2 linked regions of the Rattus norvegicus genome follow. The protein of the gene in region 1 purifies or fractionates together with the protein of each later gene. This does not show direct contact. Links are inferred from orthologs where the notes say so. Each region holds a gene or a part of one and is shown on either strand. Other genes may lie near its edges.

Region 1 (10,394 bases):
GGCAGGACATAAAGCACAGCAGGCAGGCCTCTTATTCCCGGATACCTGTCTCACTGGTACCTAGAGGGAAATCAGGAGGGGTGTGGCCGCCCTTCCCAGCCTGCCAGAGTGGGCGGGGTCACTGGGTGGGTGGGGCGATGGGCGGGGCGATGGGCGGGGCGAGATCATTGAGGGAGTTCTAATGCCTCCCTGGAGTCACTACCGGGCTGTCTGAGGAACCTCTGCGCAGCAGCTGGCGGTGAGTGCCTGCTTTCTGATTCTGTGGTCTGCGGGTGATCAGGGTGGGTGGATGTGTGGAAAGGACGGTTTTCTGGGGGAAGTTTGAGGACTCCCGGAGGACAGCGCTTATTGCTGTGGAGGTGACGACCGTCACAAGTCCCATCCTCAGGACTCTTGTTAATTGGTTCTGGAACTGGCATGTCTGAGCTTCTGGAAGGGACTCTGTTTCTCCTGGAAGCGTTGACAGAGTAGATAGGCTGTAAAAGGAAAGGGTGTCTTGAGGGGAGTCTTGGCCAGCTTTGGTAACAGAGAAAGAAGAGGGTATAGGAAGCACATTGAAGCCCCCAGGATCCTTTGAAGTCTGAGGGGAGGCTTTGATTTGTGGATGGCTGGGACATTGGAGGGAAACTTGCAGGTGAGGTCCTTACCCAGAGGGAGAAAAGCCTGCTTTGGGTCTTAGCAGGAACTATTCCTGGTTCAGTTGCCCCCCTCCACCCCCTTCTCTGTAGGCCTCAGTTTCTCTTTTAGCCTTCAGAAATACTCTCTAACCCCAGCTGCTGCTTCATAATCCTTGCCCCAGCCTCCTGCTTACCGTTACTCATTTGTGAGTGTGGGAGTTGGGATCAAACCCTATTCCTGCCCGGACAGACCCACACCTCCGTGCCCAATGCCAGCTAAGCGCTCAGCCTTTTGCTTGGCTCTCTTTCAAGCCTTTGGTGCTGTCTTTGGACAAGCCAGCTCCCAAGCCTCTGGATAGGTCTGAGCTGGCTGAAGCTCTGACTTCTGTGTCTTTTTTAGAACCTGCAAGGTCCTGGCCTGGGATGGGGGCATTGGCTTTCTGGGATCTCACCCAGGGTTGTTATCCTGGAGGGGAAAAGCCCCATCCCCATCTCTGTGCTCTTGGTGAAGAAGACCAAAGAGTCAGCTTCATTGGCTCTGTCTTAGTCTGTTGTGAGGTCACTGGAGCTCCTGGTTTCTTGGCCACTTGATGCCAGTTGGCCTCTACATGCAGCTCCAAGCTGGCACTGGCTCCATCTTGCCCCCTCTCTCCCACCCAGGTCAGCATTGCAGAGTGGCCCAGTGAACAGGAACTTATTGTTAACAAAGTGGCTTCTATACCTGTTTGGCCAAAGTGTGTGCCTTGCAATCTCTGCTCGCTGGTTCCACAGCTACCTCCCCACACTGGGTGGAATAAACCCACCCTCAACTCATGCAGACCCCATCTGTGCCCTGGGTGATACACAGGGTTATGGTGACTACATCCCGCTAACACCTGCCATCTCAGATGACAGGAAATACTGTGGGGAGAAGAAGCTGGGACAGGGCTTGGGGACTAGGGTTTTGCATAGCAGAGGAAGGCACCTCTGAGACAGTCACTACTGAACAAAATCTTAAGGAGGTGATAGGCAAGTCATGTGACTATCTTGGGGGATAGAGAAAGCTGTGTGTGTGTGTGTGTGTGTGTGTGTGTGTGTGTGTGTGTGTGTGTGAAAAGCAGGAGCATGACAGACCAGAGCAGGCTTCCTTGTTCTGAGAGTAAGGAGCAGGCCAGGAGCTACGGCAGGGTGGAAATGGGGTGGGGGAGTGGGGGGTGGTTAGGAGGAAAGAGGTGGCAGCTGAAATCTCTTGTATTGGGCTTGAGGTCACTCTATAAAAGCTGTTGGCTTTCACTTTGACCATGTGGGAGCTGTGAACAGCTCCTGCTCTGACTTAGGGTCTGGCGGGGTTCATCTAGTTGTGAGGCAGAGATGGAGATTCATGGCAGATGAGGGAACTATGAGGGTGCTGTAGAGCTTACATCATGGTATATGGCTTTTAGACTTGGAGTCTGTTGAAGGTTGGGTGTATAGTCTGTGATACTGGAGAGAGGCAGAGTCAAGCCTGACTGAGCGTTTGGGGCCGCCGTCGTCTGGGAGGGGTGCTGTTAGGAAGGAGATCCAGTGATTGATTTTGTATTTGTCTTTTGGAGATGCTGGTACGCACCACTCGATGCTGAATAGCTCCCAGTAACATTTCAGTCATTGTTATCACACAGTTGGGAATTGGGCCTGTGGGCAGAGAAGCGTCAGTAATTCAGTTCTTGGTGGTGGTGGTGGTGGTGGGGGATGGGGGACAGGACTAGGAACCACTTGGAGACAGAGTGGCTAGAAGGAAGGAGAGTGGGAAGTGGGGTGGAGTATCAGAGAAATCCTTCATGACTTTTGGAGCAGTGCTCCAGGGAGGAGGGTGAGCAGCAGTGCTCCAGGGAGGAGGGTGAGCAGCAGTGTTCCAGGGAGGAGGGGGAGCATCAGTGCTCTAGGGAGGAGGGAGAGCATCAGTGCTCCAGGGAGGAGGGTGAGCATCAGTGCTCCAGGGAGGAGGGTGAGCAGCAGTGCTCCAGGGAGGAGGGGGAGCAGCAGTGCTCCAGAGAGGAGGGAGAGCATCAGTGCTCCAGGGAGGAGGGTGAGCAGCAGTGCTCCAGGGAGGAGGGTGAGCAGAGTGCTCCAGGGAGGAGGGGGAGCAGGGTGAAAGAATGCCCTTGATGACAGAAAGGAAGGTGGGGAACAGAACAACTGGAAATCATGGAGGGGGAAGGAGTTGGAGTGTGGACTTGGGAATGGCAGTTCAGGTCCGGACAAGGGAGAATGGAAAGGAAGGATAGATTAGTCTGTTGGTGCTCTGATGGGAACTGGTTCCCTGAGAAGCAATTCAGAGTTGGAGCAGGAGAGTGGGGTTAGTTAGTGCCCCAGAGAAAGCTTAGCCAGCCAGGGCTGGGACAGTTCAGGGTCACATTTCCCTCTCCCCTGGATGCTTCCCTTCTGCTCCAGTCTGCAGTAGGCCCGTGGCACTGCAAACTAAGTCCTCAACTAGGGACTTCATGAAAACCAGGCTACCTATGATCCTGGACAGGAAGGAAGTGCTAAGAAGGAAAGGTGGGCTTGGGGACTAGGAACCTTTGAAGATACCTTTGGCCCTTTATTTCAGAAAGGAGGTGACCCCTTTGTTTGGGTTGCATCTTGCAGAGCCTAAGAGTGACCCCAAGGTGGCAGTGACCTGGTAGAGAAGACAAGGGTGACAAAGCAATGTGTTTAGCCTGGGGAGAGCAAGTCTGACCAGGTAGGACAAGGACAGGTTTCTGGGACTAACGAATGGAGAACTTCCTGGCTGCTCTGGAGGACAGTACCAAGACCAGACCTTCTTTTCCAGCTGTTTGGGATGAGATAGGGGCTTGGCCTTCTAAGAGGCAGGGGACTGGCAGAATTGATCTTTGGGGATATGTCGTGCCTTGTGTCTGCAGACACTGGCAAGATGGGAATTTCCAACTGCAGTAGAAGACAGAGTACCAAACCACATACATGGCCTTCCTGCCTCACCCCACCTGTATCCACATGGCTGATGTCATTGTCAGGGTGTGGATGGTTTGAGTATCCGATAGGCTCTTTTTTTTTTTTTTTTTTTTTTTTTTTTGGTTCTTTTTTTCGGAGCTGGGGACCGAACCCAGGGCCTTGCGCTTCCTAGGTAAGCGCTCTACCACTGAGCTAAATCCCCAGCTCCATCTGATAGGCTCTTAACATGTCTGCGGAGGGCGGAGGGCTTCTGCTCCCTCACAGCTGTTTCCGTCTGGGAAAGCACATTTATTGGAGACACCTCATGTCACCAGAGTCTTTGAGTGAAAGCCAGTGTAGATGTACCAGGTTTTGTGCCAGGACTGCCACGAACTAGCAAGTTCTGTGTGCTGGCCTGCCACCTCAGGCTTCCTGCTCAGGTTTTTGGGATTTCCCCTTGGGTGGGTTGGCCAGATCAGGGACTGCCTGTGCAACTCCTCTGGGCTTTTGACTCATGTGCTTTGTAGAAGGAGGAAGCAGTAGGCATCTTACCCAGCATTCTCTAGGCAAAGTGAGGTGGGCCATTCAAACTTAGTTCTTTTCATTCTCCACCACTCCCTGGCTGCACCTCAGGCCTCAGGCAAGAGTGCTGACCTCACCTCTGTTTTCCTCTGGGTAGGAAGGGCCAGTGGTTACTTTTCTCAGGACCGAGGCAGGTTTGCATAGTTGAGACTCAGCCCACGACTTGACCCCAGCTCATGCTGCCCCTTGCTGTCGTCTGCCTCTTCCCCATCCTTGGCTCCTCTGCTTGGGCTGAGCACAGGGCTCAGGTGACCTGCTTGGCCAGTGAAGACTCTCAGCTCCTGGTTTACAGTGGCCTCCACGATTGGGATACCTTCTCTCCCGAGCTGTCAGATGTTCAGGTAGCTTCACTGCCTCTTCCGGCCAGCCCCAGGCCTCCAGCCTGCATGCTAACAATGTGGTGTTGACTTAGTGATTGTGGATCATCCCAGAGCATTCTAGCCCCAGCCTTCCCTGACTGGGCTTGGAGTTAACATCCCCAGGGCTTCCAGTGAGCTCATTGCTTTGCAAGCTTAGGGGTGTCAGAGTGAAGGAGTCCTAGCCTGCAGTGTGCCTGCCATAGAGGAAGATGGCAGGTCTTACAGCAAAGACCTGAGCTCCCCAGGCCGTTTCCAGCTGCCCCCACCCGTCTCCTCGAACATCTTAGAATGTCCAAGATTTTGAAACAGAGCCTTTCTTCTGCTTCCTCCTTGCCTAATACTCTTTCGCTTTCTTTTTCCCTGGGCACAGTCCCAGCCCGGAGGCGATTACAAACTGGCCCGCTGAGATTTTTCTCTGTTGCTTAGGGATCTCCATGCTTGAAGTTTCTGATAGTCTCTTCCTCACCGAGCTCCTGAGGACTGTGGCAGCAGGGCAGTGTGCAGTGTTCGTTGCTGAATTCATAGGAAGGAGCCAGGGCCTTTGGTCAGGGATATGGGGTGTGTGTGTGTGTGTGTGTGTGTGTGTGTGTGTGTGTGTGTGTGGGCGCGCGTGTGTGTTACTACCAATGAGTAGCATACCAGTGGGCTCTGAACCAACTTTGTGTGCACTATGACATCCCATTTTTGCTGGAATTGGCATCTTTACAGTAAGCCCCAGCTCTACTCATGGAGCAGTAAGTAGTTATATACAGAGGCAGGACTGAAGGCCTATGGGAATACCAAAGAGACAGGCAAAGGCTTGCATCAGGCAAGAAGTCCCACTGCTTGGGTTCAAACCCTGGCCCTATCTTTCTTAGCTGCAAAATCTCCCTCCCACATGCCTTGGTTTCCCTCTTTGTAGATGGGACTGACACAGCACCTGCTTTCTCGCAGTTGAGACTGAGAAAGGAAATCTTTCAGTAAGACACTTAGGGTGAACTTATTAGATCCAGTGGTTCCAAAGTTGTATGACTGAGCGTAGTCTCTGGTAGAGCCCATGACCCTGCCTAGGAGGGGACTGATCCTCAGAAGCCGACTTCTCCTGTCAGCTCTGCCTTGTGGTGCGAGACAGGGTATGGGAGACCAGAGACTCGAGGATTTAAATGTTTGGATACTTTAAACCCATGGAAACTGCAGCTAGCTTCTTGATATACTGGGGCCTGACTTTGGGAACAGCGCCTGACTACAACTGGCCCACTTGGACTTGGCATAGTTTGCTCCCTACAGCCGTAGCCTGGCTTCTAGAGAAGTCATTTCTTGACCTGTGGCCTTCCCTGCTCTCTTACAGGTTGTGACATGTGCTCACAGGAAGACTTCCAGGCCCAGAGGAGCCAGCTGGTGGCACTGTTGGTCTCAGGGTCCTTGGAGGGCTTTGAGAGCATCTTAGACTGGCTGCTGTCTTGGGATGTGCTCTCCAGGGAGGACTATGAGGGCCTCAGCCTCCCTGGGCAACCTCTCTCCCATTCTGCCAGGCGTCTGCTGGACACAGTCTGCAACAAGGGTGTTTGGGGCTGTCAGAAGCTCTTCGAAGCTGTGCAGGAGGCCCAGGCCAACAGTCACACCTTTGAACTGCAAGGGTGCTGGGACGTTCACTCCCTTCATCCCACCAGAGACCTGCAGAGTCACCGGCCAGCAATTGTACGGAGGCTCTGCAGCCATGTAGAAGCCATATTGGAGCTGGCAAGGGATGAGGGGTTTCTGAGCCAGTACGAATGTGAGGAGATCAGGTTGCCAATCTTCACATCATCCCAGAGGGTAAGCCGTGGCGTGTGTCAGCAGAGTCCACAGGAGCAGGATGCTTAGCCACCAAGACTGTGACTCTTGTAGAGTCAGTCCCACGGAATAACGCCGTTGGTGGGATTTCCCGCACGCAGTTGGCCAGGCAGGTCAGAGTTGCTGCGGCAGCCAAGGGCTTGGCCTCGGTAGCCAGAATGATGCAGTTCGAGGCCAGTTCGGCGTTCGGCATTCGGCATGACTGGATGCTTCTGAACATCCCACAACACATCCTAAGCTCTCCATCTGTTCCTTTTTCTTTCTTCTTTTTCTTGTTTGTTTCTGAGGCTTCTTGTTCTACCCCAGCCTTAACCTCTGCCCTTCATTTCTCCCATCTCACTTTCCTCCTCTGCAGGGTACTGCTCACCTCCAATGCTCAGGTTTGGGGGAGAGCTCCCTGAGCACCCATATACCAATTAGAGATGTGTCTGGCATCACCACCCGCCCCTGGCTGCTGTCATTTCTGTTTGAGTGGCCCTCTGTACTTGCAGACTTTCGCATCAACAGATCGATGGAGAATAATTCTGCATTACGTTAAATCTGAACTTAATCGTGTAGCCTACTGTGTGCCAATATAGTTTAAACACCCACCTAGGATTTTAGATTGAAATAGCATTAGAACTAGTCCCTGAAATGCAATGATTCAACAGAAACCACACTGACAGAAAAGTATCCCTGGGTAGCTCTGAAACTTCTATTTTCCTGTAAATAATGGTCCTCAGGCTGTCTGTGGAACATGGAAAATGGTAACATTCTACTTTACAGTTCTGGGAAATCAGCAGGCTTTAGCCTTGACCCATCCATCCATCCATCCATCCATCCATCCATCCATCCATCCATCCATCCATCAATCCACAGTCTATGAGGCTTACCGTATGCCTGATTCTGTGCAGAAGCTTGCTGTGTTGAGAGCTTTACATGTGATAGGCGTCTGGTCAGTACTTGGTGATGAAATAAATGAGTTGTTAGAACTACGTGTCAGCGTGAGGATGGGTGAGTTGACCTTGGGGTGAGCTTGGGGAAATTCCCCTGGGGCAGATGCAATGAGCATCTCTGGGTTCAGCTTGAGGCGGGTAAGTCTTCACAGAACACGCACGACTTAGCCTTCTTATTCCTGCACACAGGGCCTGAAGGTGTGACCCTGTGTACCTTCTATTCCATTGGCATTCAAAAGCACATATTAATAAATCCTCAGTGCTTCCTGTGATCGGTTGTGGGGATAGGACCAGCTCACCTACCCAAGTGAGACCGTAATTCATCACCTTTGATGTAGTGCTCAGCAGTGAATCCAGGGAGGATTCTCCAAGGATCTGAGGAAGGAAGCCAGATGCTTATCCCCCATGGGAGCGTTAATACCCAAAGTATCTAGACTGTCCAAGAAAAGAAAATGGGATAACCTACAGGCCAAAGAAGCAACCAGTGGCTAGCCAGAAAGAAAGATCTAATCGAGGTCTGTTGGCTGCAGCAGGACCGAGGGGGCTATGACCTATTGGAAAGAAGAGAGGCTGAATGGGCAAAGACTCTTATGTCAAGAAAGAATGAAGTGTGGCCAGATGCCTTTAACATAGGACTCAGTGGGTTTCAGGCCAGCTAAGACTACATGTTAAAGCCTGTGTCGAAAGAAAAGAAAGGAAGGTAGGAAGGACAGGCGGACAGAAGGCCAAGTAGACAGCAAAAGCCAACACTGAAGATGAAGGAGTGAGCTGAGGGAAGGGACAGTGGATAGCACCTCTGAGGATTTAGAGGTGACAGAGGGGCCCCACGGCTTGAAGTAAAGTGATTAGAACCTGCTTTGTCTTAGCTCCTCAGCTCTGGCATCCTGGGATCTGTGGCTTTCTTTCCCTCAGTGACTCAATTTCTGACTCCGTGTAGGTGGCATTTATGGTATCTCCAGCTGACAATGTCTCTAGTATTTGACCTTTTAATTTCTTGATAGAGGTGGCTCTCATTGGTTGAAGGTTGGGAACTGAAAGTGTGGAAGGAAGCAGAAGTTGGGTTAAAGAGCCCCCTTTATCCCCATTTCTGAGCATTACAGGGAGGGTGCACACTTGGCTGTGGACCAGCTTGCTCTCCAGTGGCACAGTTAAACCCTGCTACATTCTTCCAGCGGTGAAGGGCGTGTTTGTTGAAAATGAAGAACATATTGCCTGTTTGAGAAGGGCTAGCTAGGAACTGGATTTCGGTCTGTTTCTTTCCAAGGAGTGTACACTTACTTCCCTTTGTGTCATAAGATGTGAGAGCTTTGCGTAGCTTTGCTCAGTTGGGGATAACAGTTGTTGGGAAACCTCAGGCTGGTAACACCAACTGTGATGCCAGCTGTCCGTGTGACTCATGCAGATGCTAAAGCCCATGGGGCTGAGGTATCAGTGTAAGCTCTGACTTGCTTGCTTCTCTCATAGAGCCAACTATGACAGTTTTATATTGGGAAAAGTACCACGCCTACAAAATAGTGTATAAACTTCCTATGTCTAGAGTAAAAACTTCCCCATATCCAGATGAAGAAACTGCCTTATTGATACCCTATCCTTTAGGTCTAACCAGTAGAGGCAACCAGTGATCTAACTTGTCTGTTCATCATTCCTTTGCCTTCGTTTATGGTTTTGTGTCTTTTGCAAGAAATTTCCAAAAAGTGTATTTAATTAAAAAGAAAAGGAAGAAGGAGAAGGAGGAGGAGGAAGAGGAGGAGGGGGAAGAAGAGGAAGAAGAGGAGGAGAAGAAGGAGAAGAAGGAGAAGAAGGAGAAGAAGGAGAAGAAGAAGAAGAAGAAGAAGAAGAAGAAGAAGAAGAAGAAGAAGAAGAAGAAGAAGAAGAAGAAGAAGAAGAAGAAGAAGAAGAAGAAGAAGAAGCAAGCTAAACATAATTGTGTCAGGAAACAGAAATATTACCTTTTCTTCTTAGATGGAAACTCCCAGGACTAGGGATGTGTCTAGCTTCTCCTTCCTTGGGAGTCTGTTTTGGGACCTTCTAGTAGGCCAATGTCATTGATGAGTCTAGGGAAATCCTGGGCTTGTTCAAGCTGGAGCATCTGGCGGAGCTGGGGTGAACAAATGGGCAGAATGTCACTGGGAATGTAGTTTGGGGAAGTGGAGCATGCAGCCCAGTCTGCTTTAAGTCTGATTCTGACTGTGAGGACTAGGTCAAGGGTAAGTAGTTCTATGGATGACACCATTGTCCTCCCGTGACATAGGCTGGTTTACTCCATTTGGGTAGACCATCTATCCTCTCCAAATATTCTATTTTTTTAAATAGACAATTTAGGAATTGAATTTTCGGAGTGTTTAAAGCTTCCCTCATAGTTGATTGGCAGTTTGATTGGGTATAAAATCCTAGTGGCCCACCTGTAAGCCCAGCTTCCTGGAAGGCTAAGCAGGCATATAGAAAATGTAAGGCCTATGTGTACTACGGAGTGAGTGGGTTTAAGAATAGTCTGGTCAGTTTGGTAAGACCATGTCTCAAAGTAAAGAGCTCTGAAGTCATACCTGAGTAGTAAGAGCTAGCATGTGTGGCACCCTGAGTTTTATTCCCAACACTGCAAACAATCAAATTAGTAAATTAATATACATTCTGGCCATCATTTCCCTTTAGAATTTTCATGGCATTACTCCATTATCTTCCCTGTTTAGGGCTGCCACTGAGACTTCAAAGACGATTTTCTATCTCTTTCTTAAGCCTGTCAAAATTTCTTTTAGTCCATAATATGCTGAAATTTGTTGTTCCCTTTCTTCTCTCTTCATGGAATTGTAGCTGCTTGAGTGCTGAAGTTTCTGGATGAACCCTCCAGTTCTCTTCCGTTTTCCATCACTGTGTGTCCTGCTACTGTTGTTTTTGAGACTGGATCTTACCCTGTAGCCTGAACTGCCCTGGAACTCCTATGTAGCACAGGTTGGCCTCAGATTTGGGGCAGTCCTCCCAAGTGCTGAGACTACAGGCATGACCCACACAGCTGCCTTTTGCAGTTTTCTGTGTGGTATTTTCAACCCTGAACTCTTGAAGTTTTCATCTTTGCTTTGGCACTTGCAGCCTGTAAGGGCTATTTTTACTGTTTCTTTATTACAGCGACTTGCTCTTGGTTTAGGGAACGCAATCTTTTATGTAGACAAGATAATACTGTTTTTTTT
Region 2 (10,394 bases), on another chromosome or scaffold:
AGGACATTTGAAGATGGTGTTCTGGAAACCAAAAGTACTTCCGGGTAAGGCTGAAGCCCCATCTGCTTGTTGTCTTTCAACTTCTGTACTATAACTCTGGCAAACTCTTCTCCTTGGATGTCAGAGGTATCTAGCAGCTGTCTGACTTTTGCGGTCCTTGTAGGTTTGGTGCTAATGAGTTCATAGTCCTCCTTCATGATCAGGTCCCGAGACAGAAGGGCGTCCAGGGATTGGTTCAGGCAGGCTTCAGTCATCTGGCTCACAATGGCTTCCCTCTTACTCTGGATCCACTGTTGTGCTATCCCGGGTTGTGGGCGCTCTGCAAGAAAGCAGCGCATGAGAATTACAGGGCCGAGGACAGACACAGGCAACGAGTATGATTCTGCGTGAGTGAGTAAGGTGTGAAGAGTATTTTTTGAACATTCTTCCATTATCCAGGAACTACCAGAGACTTGAGTTGTAGCTCCCCATTCCCCTTCCAGAAAGAATATTATGTTTTTACATGTTATGTCGTAGAGCACAATGACTTTAATTTTTGTTTTGTTCAAATATTAAGGGTACCTGCCTATCTAACAGTGAAAGTAAGGCTTCCTCTTACACTTCCTTCTAGGTTAGAGATTCCTAGAATGCATGTGGTCAGCACTCAGTTTGGAAATGCTTTCCTACTTAAACAAATATTAAATGAGGCATGGGATGAAAACTAAGAAAACTTACTGTACAGTGAATCAATGCTTCGGGTACTTGTAAGGAAAACACCAGCATTTGCAGTGTAACTCACAGCATACACTCACCTGAACTTTTCTCAACCAACAGTGGCCTTATCACAGTCAAGGAGCACGAGCTGGCTCTGCGATCACAGAAGGCTGCCTCTTGTGACACAGAAATGATACCATCCCAGCTGTGATTTCCAGGACAATGGTACGCCTTCGACGAAGAACAGTCTTGAGGTCCTCCTACAGAACAGTTCATCACAGGAAGAGCTTTCATTAGATAAAATACCAACGGCTGGGTTACATAGAAGGTAGGCTCTAACGGCTTTGGTTTTGCAGTGTCACTGAAGCTACTTCAGAAATCCAATTCTGAAAATACCTGGAATATTTGCATGTGCATATGTGCATGTGTGTGTGTGTGTGTGTGTGTGAAGGTCAGAGGTCAACATGTAGGATTCAGCTCTCTTTCTACTATGTGAATTTAGATGATCAAATTCAGGTTGCCGGCTTGTTAAGAAGTACCTTTACCCATAGAATCATCTAGCTGGCCCTGCCAACACTTTTTAGAGGAATAAACCTTCATACTGACTAGTTTTTGTTTTTAACTACTGTTAGTACTTGCCTGGTCTATGTTTACTATAAATCAGGAAGTTTCCGATGTTCTCACAATCTCAACCTTCTTCCCTGTGAACTCCCCCTTTCCACTTTACATGTGTCTTATGTCTGTCTGTCAGATACCCGGACTTTTAAGTGCTATAAGTCTATATTTGACATGTGTTTTCCGCTTTCCCCTCTAGAAAACAATTTCAGGGTTCCAACTGTTTATCCTGTTTCTGTAATTATCTTTCTGTCACTACTGAACACATTCAACATTCTCAGAGGCTCACTGCACATCTCCCCAATACGCACTAAACAAAACAAACAAAACATAAAAAAAATGTAAATCATAATCACCATCCATTTAACTGAACCCCATTTCAGTTGTTAGTTTCTTTTTTTTTTTCTGGAGCTGAGGACCAAACCCAGGGCCTACTGAGCTAAATCCCCAACCCCTACCCCCAGTTGTTAGTTCTAAGAGCTGTGTGTTTTCACAGTTTAACAATGTAGTATTTAGCTTCATGGCCTTCTCCCTCAGCTCAGGTGAGCAGTCATAAGGTATCAGGGAGTCGTCCTAATCTCTCTCACTGCCTTCCCTGTTATCCCTTTTAATTGTCCTTATTCCAAGTCTCCTCTTCCCTTCAAGTGGCTTCTGCAGAGCCATCATGGTGGCTCGGTGGGTCAATACACTTAACTTCACCTCGATTTGATTCCCACAATCCACAGTGGAAAGGGGTAAGTGACTCTCAAAAGATGACTTCTGACCTCTACATGTGCACCGTGGCATGTGTGGCTCTCTTTGTGATGCCCTAGCCACATCTACCCTCAACTCCCAAACAATATTTTTTTTTTCAAATTTCAACCAGGATGAGCCTTCCTAAAGCAAAAATTTATATCTGATACCCTTCTTTTGACAGTCACTTAGGAATTCTTTTCTATTTTAATTAATTTTTTAAAATTAAAAATATATATGTATGTGTAAGAGTTTTGTTCTGCATTTATGCCTATGCACTGTGAATACTTAGTGTCTATGGAGGCCAGAATAGGGTGGCAGATTCTTTGGAACTGGAGCTGTGACAGTTCTGAGATGTTGTGTGGGTGGTGGGAATTGAGCCTGAGTGCTCTGGAAAAGCAGTAAGCACTCTTTATCCTGAGCCATCTCTCCAGGCTCAAGGAATTCTTGCTGATACCACTGTAATCCTCCTTCATTTTTTATCTCTTCTTTTTCACTCTATGTATAAGACAAACTAAATTACACACTGACTGTTCCTTGCTTCTGGACTCCATATTGTTCTTTTTACGGAATACCTATCTGTCGTAAGTTGAGGTCAGCCTTTAGCCAGAAATAAGGTCTTCATGATGGAATAATACAGTAGAGTGACATGAAAGTATTCGTCAAAGAGCCTGGCTTTACTCATCTTGGATCTTCTAGCTATGTGCTATGTGATCCAGAGAGAGTTCGTAATCTATAAACAAGGTCTAAGACTAGCTCCCTCACACAGCTATTAAAAATACTTCCTTAAGAATGTGTCTTGTTTCCTGTAGTTGTATCTATATATCTATATATTTATATCCCTCTTAAAATATAGTTACTATGGTAACTTTGAAACACTTCTCTTTTTTCTTATGAAATTAAGAAAAACAACCTTTCCATCATGATCCCAGAATGCCTTTAATATAAACATATTTGTTCATCATGCCACTCCTACCTTTACATATGCAACTTGTCACTTTAAAAAAAATGGAGCATGAATGCAAATAAGAAATGTGTTTCATGCACAACATCTGTCTGCCAAGGGTATAATTTGAAAGAAGGTGCAAAGGCTATGTAAGCATGCTGACTGAAAAATGGACATACCATGGAAAAAACCTTTGTCTTGAGGAGCTGACAGAGACCTGGAGGTTCCAGGAGAACCAGCGTTTCTAGAGAGCAGAGAGGATCCACATGATTCCTAAAGTAAACCGAGGGTCAACAGGTTGAGGGGAGTCATATACGTAAAGCTTTGTAGAAAGGCATCATCTTTAAAATTACATGGCTATAGTTTCTAGATTCTTGCTTATCAAATATTGAAAACCGGAGCTATTATAAATTATAGTTTACAGAGCCAAAGAAATAAGGTATAAAAGCATCACAAGTGAATATAATTTCTTTTTCACCCTCTTCTCTACTAGGGATTGAACCTAGAGCCCCAGACTTGCCAGGTGAGCTATATCCTTAATCTCTAAATTTAATTTCTTTATCAACTCAAATGGAAGGGATGGGGCAATACTGGAAATAACTATAAGCCATCAGATTCAGAGGACCTGTTCAGTGGCTATAATGATGAGTGAGAAACATGTGGTTACCTACTGATTTAGAGCAAAGGCTTATTCTCAGCTCCTTCAACCTGAAGGCACAGAGAAATGCTTGGAGAAACTATGGAGATTTCCCCTCTTAGCTCTGTCACCGATTGCTTACTGCCCTGCGAAAATTCACTGAAACTCTCTGGCTTTAATGCTTCATCAAAAATTAGCATATTATTCAATGATCAAACCAGATGCTTTATATAAAAGTGATTTTGAAGTTATGTACTGTGGGTCAGTGTGGTGTTTCGGTGGGTAGCCAAGTGGATAACCTGAATTTGATCCTTGAGAACCACATAGTAAAGGAGAGAATGGATTTCTGCAAGTTAGCCTTTAACACACACGCAAACATCCACATGTACTCATGCTGTATACACAAGTGTAAAAAAAAAACACAACTATGTGGTATGCTTTAGTGCTCTTTTGAATGTACTGTTACTCTTATGAACCTGTAAAATAGATATATAATCTTTAAATGATTCGTAAAAATGACCAATTAAAGAAATAGCTCTTGGAAAGCAGCAGAAACTTAATATTTATTGTAAGAGGTAGAAGGGTGGTATAAAACGGTGGTGAAATTATCACTGATGACTTACCCATACACGGCCCTAGAGCATCATCCAAAGAGTGAGATTTCAGCTTAGAGACTGTCATGACTACTTAGCTAATGCTTCCTGGACTTTAGTTTTCCATCTATATAAGAGATGTTTGACTAAAAGAGTTTTAATGTTCCTCTCATATTCAAGTTTAGTATAACAGGTATATTTGTACCTCCTGTGGAGGATGGCTTGCAGGTATGTTCAGTGATAAATCCATTTTCTTATCACATAAGTGAATTGTACTCGATGCACTCTGTATCTGGAACAAACATACACATGTTTTGTGTTTACAGAAAAATCAGTGGAAACAAAATCTACATCATTTGGGAATATATAACTTAATTAGAGACAGTACAGAATAAGAAATGCCTAGGGAACAGACTTTGCATCCTGCCACATATTCATTATTTGATCTAATAAATATTATTTTAAGATGTTACGGCTTCATCTTTAATAATTACAAACAGGACTATTTAAAGATTGAGATAATAAAGAATTTGGTTCCAGCCAGGCATTCAATTTTGCTGTGTGCTCTATCTATCCATGATTGTTACTATACAAAACTGTATTTCATAGACTATACTCTAAATTCTATTACTATTTTTACTGTACTTAAAAGAAACCAAGGTTGGGTTGATGTATAGGTGGTAGTGTCTTACCATGGTATGGTGTGTGTATGTGCACTCATACATGTGTGTGTGTGTGTGTGTGTGCACTCGTGTTTATGTCATGGTCAAGTCTAGAGCCCATGATGTGTCACTAACTGACCCTTACATATCTATTATGTATATTGGTCACAGTCATCAGTCCATTTTCTTCTTATGTCCCTCCTACACCCTTTGAAACTCTACTTCTCATCTTGCCCTCTGTCCTACTTTTATTAAAAAGTTAAAAAATCTCTATCTATATATAACATCTATCTATCTATCTATCTATCTATCTATCTATCTATCTATCTATCTATCTATCTATCATTGTACTGAGTTTAATTAGGGTTGCTTGCATGTGCAAGGGCCAGGGGATGCAACTTAACATTAATTTTCCTATTTATATGTTAAAGATAAGGATACTCATTTAGTAGGGTTACTATAAGGAGAATTAGAAGTGATACATGCAAAAGGGCCCTAAGATTACTTGCAGGTATTCAATGGAAGGTAGGTGCTATATAGGTGATTTGCTTCCTTAAATGCAGTAGTTTTATACTTAAGTGATTTAAATTTGACTCCATAATCTAGACTTAGACAAGCTGTCATCACTACTAAGTCATTTAAAAACAAATCTGGAAGTCTACTCCCTGCCTCAACTCCATTTCACACAGAATCTCACTCTGTAGTTAGGGTCAGGCTGGCCTGGATTTTACTACCTAGACCATGCTGGCCCCAAAACTCACAACAATCCACCTGCCTCTGCTTCGGAATCCTGTTATTACAGGTGAAAAGTACCACACATAGCTAAGTTTACTTTTCCCCTCTACATGGGGTTCTGCACCAAGCTCTCCACGTCTCACTACAACTTCCTGCTGCAGCGGGAGGAAAAGACTCGTAGCCGCCTGCATACACAGTGATCTAGTTTATTATTCGGTACGCTGTCATTCAGCAAGCGTCTCTGTGCGGGTCGAGACTATGTGACCCCTGAGGAGCTGGATCTTCCTCCTGAACGTACAGAGATCCACTTGCCTTTGCCATCTGACTCTGGGGTTAAGGACATGCACCACCACACCACATGTAAAATTCTATATGCATCTTTAAATTAGCTTTTGGCTATGTCTGTTATGTAAAGTTTTCCTGACTTTTACTGAAACATTTCTAATACAGTTCTTTATAAGCAATATCCTTTTTTTTTTAAAAAAAAAAACAAACTAATGAGCTAAGATAATTCAAATTGTTCATGGACCAGAGGAAAAATATAAGAAAGTATAAAAGAAAAATTTTTTGGTTCACTTTTTATTTTCTTTTTTAAGATATAGGAAACACTTAACATGGACAAACCCAAATAGTAAGAACTAGAATTTTAAAAGAACTTAAAATATAGAAAATCTAAGTAAAACAAGCCATTCTAGACGTGTGTTTGTGTAGGACAGAGTCTCATTATACTGTTTATGTTTGTCAGGCTGGCCTGGCTTCAAATTCAGTTCCTCAGCCTGTACCTGTAGAGCAGCTGGGATGAGAAGCACCACCATGCTTGGCCTCTAACTCCCTACCCCGCTGTCTGGGCTGTTGTGTGGCTAACGTTTCTATAGTGCAATAATCCCATCTAAAGAAGCTAGGACTTCACCCTCCCCAACTGTAACTTTATGTAAAATAACACTGTGACATGAAAACAATGATAAATCCACCATGTGATTACTAAATTATCTGAAAACATATACTTTACTTAAGAAGATACAACTTTTAAACATCAAGCCTTACATATAGTATGTGAGTGCTTGAAGTGTTTGAAGACAGAAAAGGGGTGTGGGACAGTTTGCTTTATCGTCACAGCCAAGACAGTAGGCCTCTGTGTTTCCTTCTTTGTCTGTTTCTTTTTTGTTTAATGCTCTGCCACTGAACTCTACCCCGAGGTTCCCTCCCTCTTTTTATTTTTAATTTTGAGACAGGTCTAGCTAACTTACCCATGCTGGCCTTGAGCTCACACTGTAGCCCAGGCACACCTTGAGTCTGCAATCCTCCTCTTAGCCTACCCAAGTAGATGGGATTACAGGACGGTACCACCAGGTCCCTACTCATCTAGTTTCGCTTAGAGAAAGATGAGAAAAAGATAAATTTGTAAGGAGAAAATAGGAGAAGAAAAGAAAAGACAAGACAGACATTAACAACAGACATTGGTATCTCTGGAGAAGTCTGAACCCTACTCAGAAATTGGTGAGTTGGAGATGTTAGAAAAAGAATACAGAGTTCATATTTAGTTCCTCTAAAACTTGGATACTCGCCATGGTATTTGCAAAAAAAAAAAAAAGACATGTTCATCAATGGAGTCAAATTGAAAAGTTAGATATTAATATTGCTATAGTAAGTCTTTATTTTGATTATGAGTGGCTGTTTCTTTTACAAACTAATCTTTAAATGAAAGGTCATGCGCTAGTAGGTCCAGCAAAATCAGAGGGGAAGGCAAACACTGTCACAGTCAATAAAGAAACAGTAGATCATGCTTGTTAATCAGTCAAGAGTTGGGCTAGTTGGCAATCTGATTATCATATACACAGTGCAAATGAATGAAACCCAGCAAGTGCTAGCCTACGCTCACTTTGCTTAAAGGAGCTACAAATGCTTTATAAATCCTCAGTTGTTCTGATCCACAAGAGCTACACTGATCAGACAACTGTCCCAGGTAGTTTACATTAACTTTTCTGACAGTTTGGTTTATGCAGTGTGAAGTATTTGAGCGAGAAAACAAAATAAAAGCCGAGGAATAAAAGTACACTTTGGGGGATCAAATATAACATAAATGTGACTGTTTTACTTGGTGATAAATCTCAAAACAAAACAAAACAAAAATAACCCAACCAACCATAACAAAACAACCCCCCCCCAAAAAAAATCCCAAGTACTTGAAAGAAGAGCTAGAACTAAGTCTGCAGGTGTTAGCACTTACAGAAGGAAACACAGACAACACTTATCATATGCGCGGCTGTGAGTGACACAGGGCGTTTGCTGTGCACAGGACCCTTAGCAGAGATCCTAAGTCCACATCTGATATGCTGCAGACTCTGAAACTGTTAAATCTGAAGGTGGCCCATTTGAGAGAAATGGAAATGCCCACTGGTGACAATCTTGACCCTTGTAAATTCTCCCAACTCCAACCCCCAATTCTAGCCTGTTTCTGGGAAATTAATTTAAAACTTCAGGAGTGACATTCAGTTTTGTAAAGTTCTAAGTTACAAAGTTTCAAAGGGAGATTTACCTTTGATTTTTTTAGCTGAATAACAGCTTCAAGAAAAGTTATGTCTTCAAATGTTCTCAGAACTGGTTCAAGTTCTATTAAGCATTCTAAATAAGGAAAAGAAAAAAACCAAAAAAACAAAAACCCAACAATTTTAAGTTCAGATCACTTCTAATAATTAAAAGGAAATGTTAACATTTATCTTATAAGGCTCCACATCAATCTTTCAATAAAACGATGACATCCAATTACTTTAAGGAATTTTACTGCTGGCATAAACAGACATGAGGACCAACAGAACCCAGTTAGCAGCCTTCAAGTGAACTGTCACAATTCTGGAAAGCTGATTCTCCACAGAGGCCTAAAATTCCACAGGGCAAGGGCAGTCTTTAAAGTAAACTTTACTAAGCCATCTGAATACCCATATTAAAACAGGTCATTTATACCCTTATTTGCATACCATACATAAACATTAAGTCACAGTAGATCATTTACTTAAGTATAAACAGGAGCAAATATTCAAAGCCTCGAGTTAGGGGAGTTAGGGAAAAATCCTTAGATGTGAGGTCAAAGTTAAGATTTACAGAAACCCAACAACCAGACTTCCAAAAACAATTTGAAAAATTATAATCTAGAGCAGTGCTTTTCAACCTGTGGGTCGTGACCCTCTTGGGGGTTGAATGACCCTTTCACAGGGGTTGCACATCGGATATCCTACATGTCCGATATCCTGCATATCTGATATTTACATTACGATTTATAACAGTAGCAAAATTACAGCTATGAAGTAGCAACAACAATAATTTTATGGTTTGGGTCACCACAACGTGAGGAACTTATTTAAAGGGTCTCAGCATTAGGAAGGTTGAGAACCTGGCTCTAGAGAGAACATATCCTTAAAAAAAATGAGAATCAAAGCCACAGAATAGGAGAACATATTTCAAGTTGAATTATCTGCTGAAGGGCTTTTATCTAGCATGAATGAAGTATTCTACGAGGGTGGGCCAGGATGATAACTCAGTGGGTGCTTGCTGTGAAGACTGACTGCCTTAGCTTGATTCCAGCACCGTGCTGAAAGGAAAGAACTAAGTCTGGACACTGACAGAATATGCTTGTACACACGTGAACTTGCGCGCGCACACACACACGCACATACACATGCACACACACGCACACAAGCACAAACACACACATGCACACGCATGCACACACTCATACATGCATATGTGCACATACAGGTTACCCTCAAACTCCCGAGTCTAATATATTCTCTTACCTCTGTCTCTCACCACCACACTCAGCTAAGAGCTTGATTACATGGCCTACAGTCAGAGTAGACATGACGGACCTCTCCCTCCTTAGAGCACTCCTTCTTAGACAGAGACTACAGTCTTTGTTTGCAACCTATTTCCTTGTTCCTCTATACAATTTCTAAGAAATGCTTCAGAGGTCTAATATGGGCTTGGATTAGTTTCTCTCCGTCTGTATTTTCTAGTGATGTGAACTGCCCATTTATATGCCTTTTAGTCAACTATGTATTTTCTTTGGTGAAATCCCAATCTACAGTTTTAAAACTGTACTATTTGTCTTGTTATTGGATGAGTCACAACGCTTTTTTATTTCTAGACACAAGTCCTTTCAATAGATATATGATATCAAAATGTATTCCAAACATCTTAGTCGTTTACTTGTGTGTGTGTGTGTGCGTGTGCGTGTGTGTGTGTGTGGTGTGTGTGATGGGAACATAGTGTGCATGTTTGCATATATGTGCATCTGCAAAGGACTGCTCTCCACTTTCTATACTGAGGCCATGGCAGGTCTCTCATTTGAAGCCAGAGCTCACCAGTCTGGCTACTTCTCTAGTCTAGCTAGCTAGGCTAGTCTATCTAGTCAGTTTGTTCTCCTCCCAAGAGCTGGGATTATAAGCAGGCTGCAGGATATCAGGAGAGCATTTATATGGGTGCTGTGAATCCAAGCTCCTGGCCTCAGCTTCTATAGAAAGCATTTTCTACTGTAAGCCAGCTCTCCCACTGGTACTTGATTTAATACAAGGTGTAATTTTTAAAAGTTCAATCTCCAAGTTTATTGACTTTTTTTTAGGTCCTATGGATTCAAATCTAAGAACTCTGCCTAACCAAGGTCTTAAGATTTTTTTATATTTAGAGGTCTGATCTTCCTCTCCCTTTGAAATATGCCTTAACTTTGAATAACTTTTCTTTCTTTTTTTTTTTTTTTTCGGAGCTGGGGACCGAACCCAGGGCCTTGC

What was found. The genes of interacting proteins can lie anywhere in the genome.
Region 2: the proteins of Nod2 (region 1) and Ripk2 purify together in Homo sapiens (affinity purification with western blotting; 12 studies listed by BioGRID and IntAct, with this or other methods). This does not show direct contact. The link is inferred for Rattus norvegicus from reciprocal best matches to the Homo sapiens genes NOD2 and RIPK2.

What each region holds. Positions count from the first base shown.
Region 1 is NC_086037.1:34,586,041-34,596,434, reverse strand, and holds the start of Nod2 (nucleotide-binding oligomerization domain-containing protein 2), read left to right. Parts: upstream 1-192; 5' UTR 193-238; intron 239-5,792; 5' UTR 5,793-5,800; coding exon 5,801-6,259; intron 6,260-10,394. UniProt on the Homo sapiens protein: Pattern recognition receptor (PRR) that detects bacterial peptidoglycan fragments and other danger signals and plays an important role in gastrointestinal immunity.
Region 2 is NC_086023.1:34,429,420-34,439,813, forward strand, and holds part of Ripk2 (receptor-interacting serine/threonine-protein kinase 2), read right to left. Parts: intron 8,236-10,394; coding exon 8,150-8,235; intron 6,985-8,149; exon of another isoform or gene 6,861-6,984; intron 4,509-6,860; coding exon 4,422-4,508; intron 3,260-4,421; coding exon 3,166-3,259; intron 954-3,165; coding exon 792-953; intron 320-791; coding exon 1-319.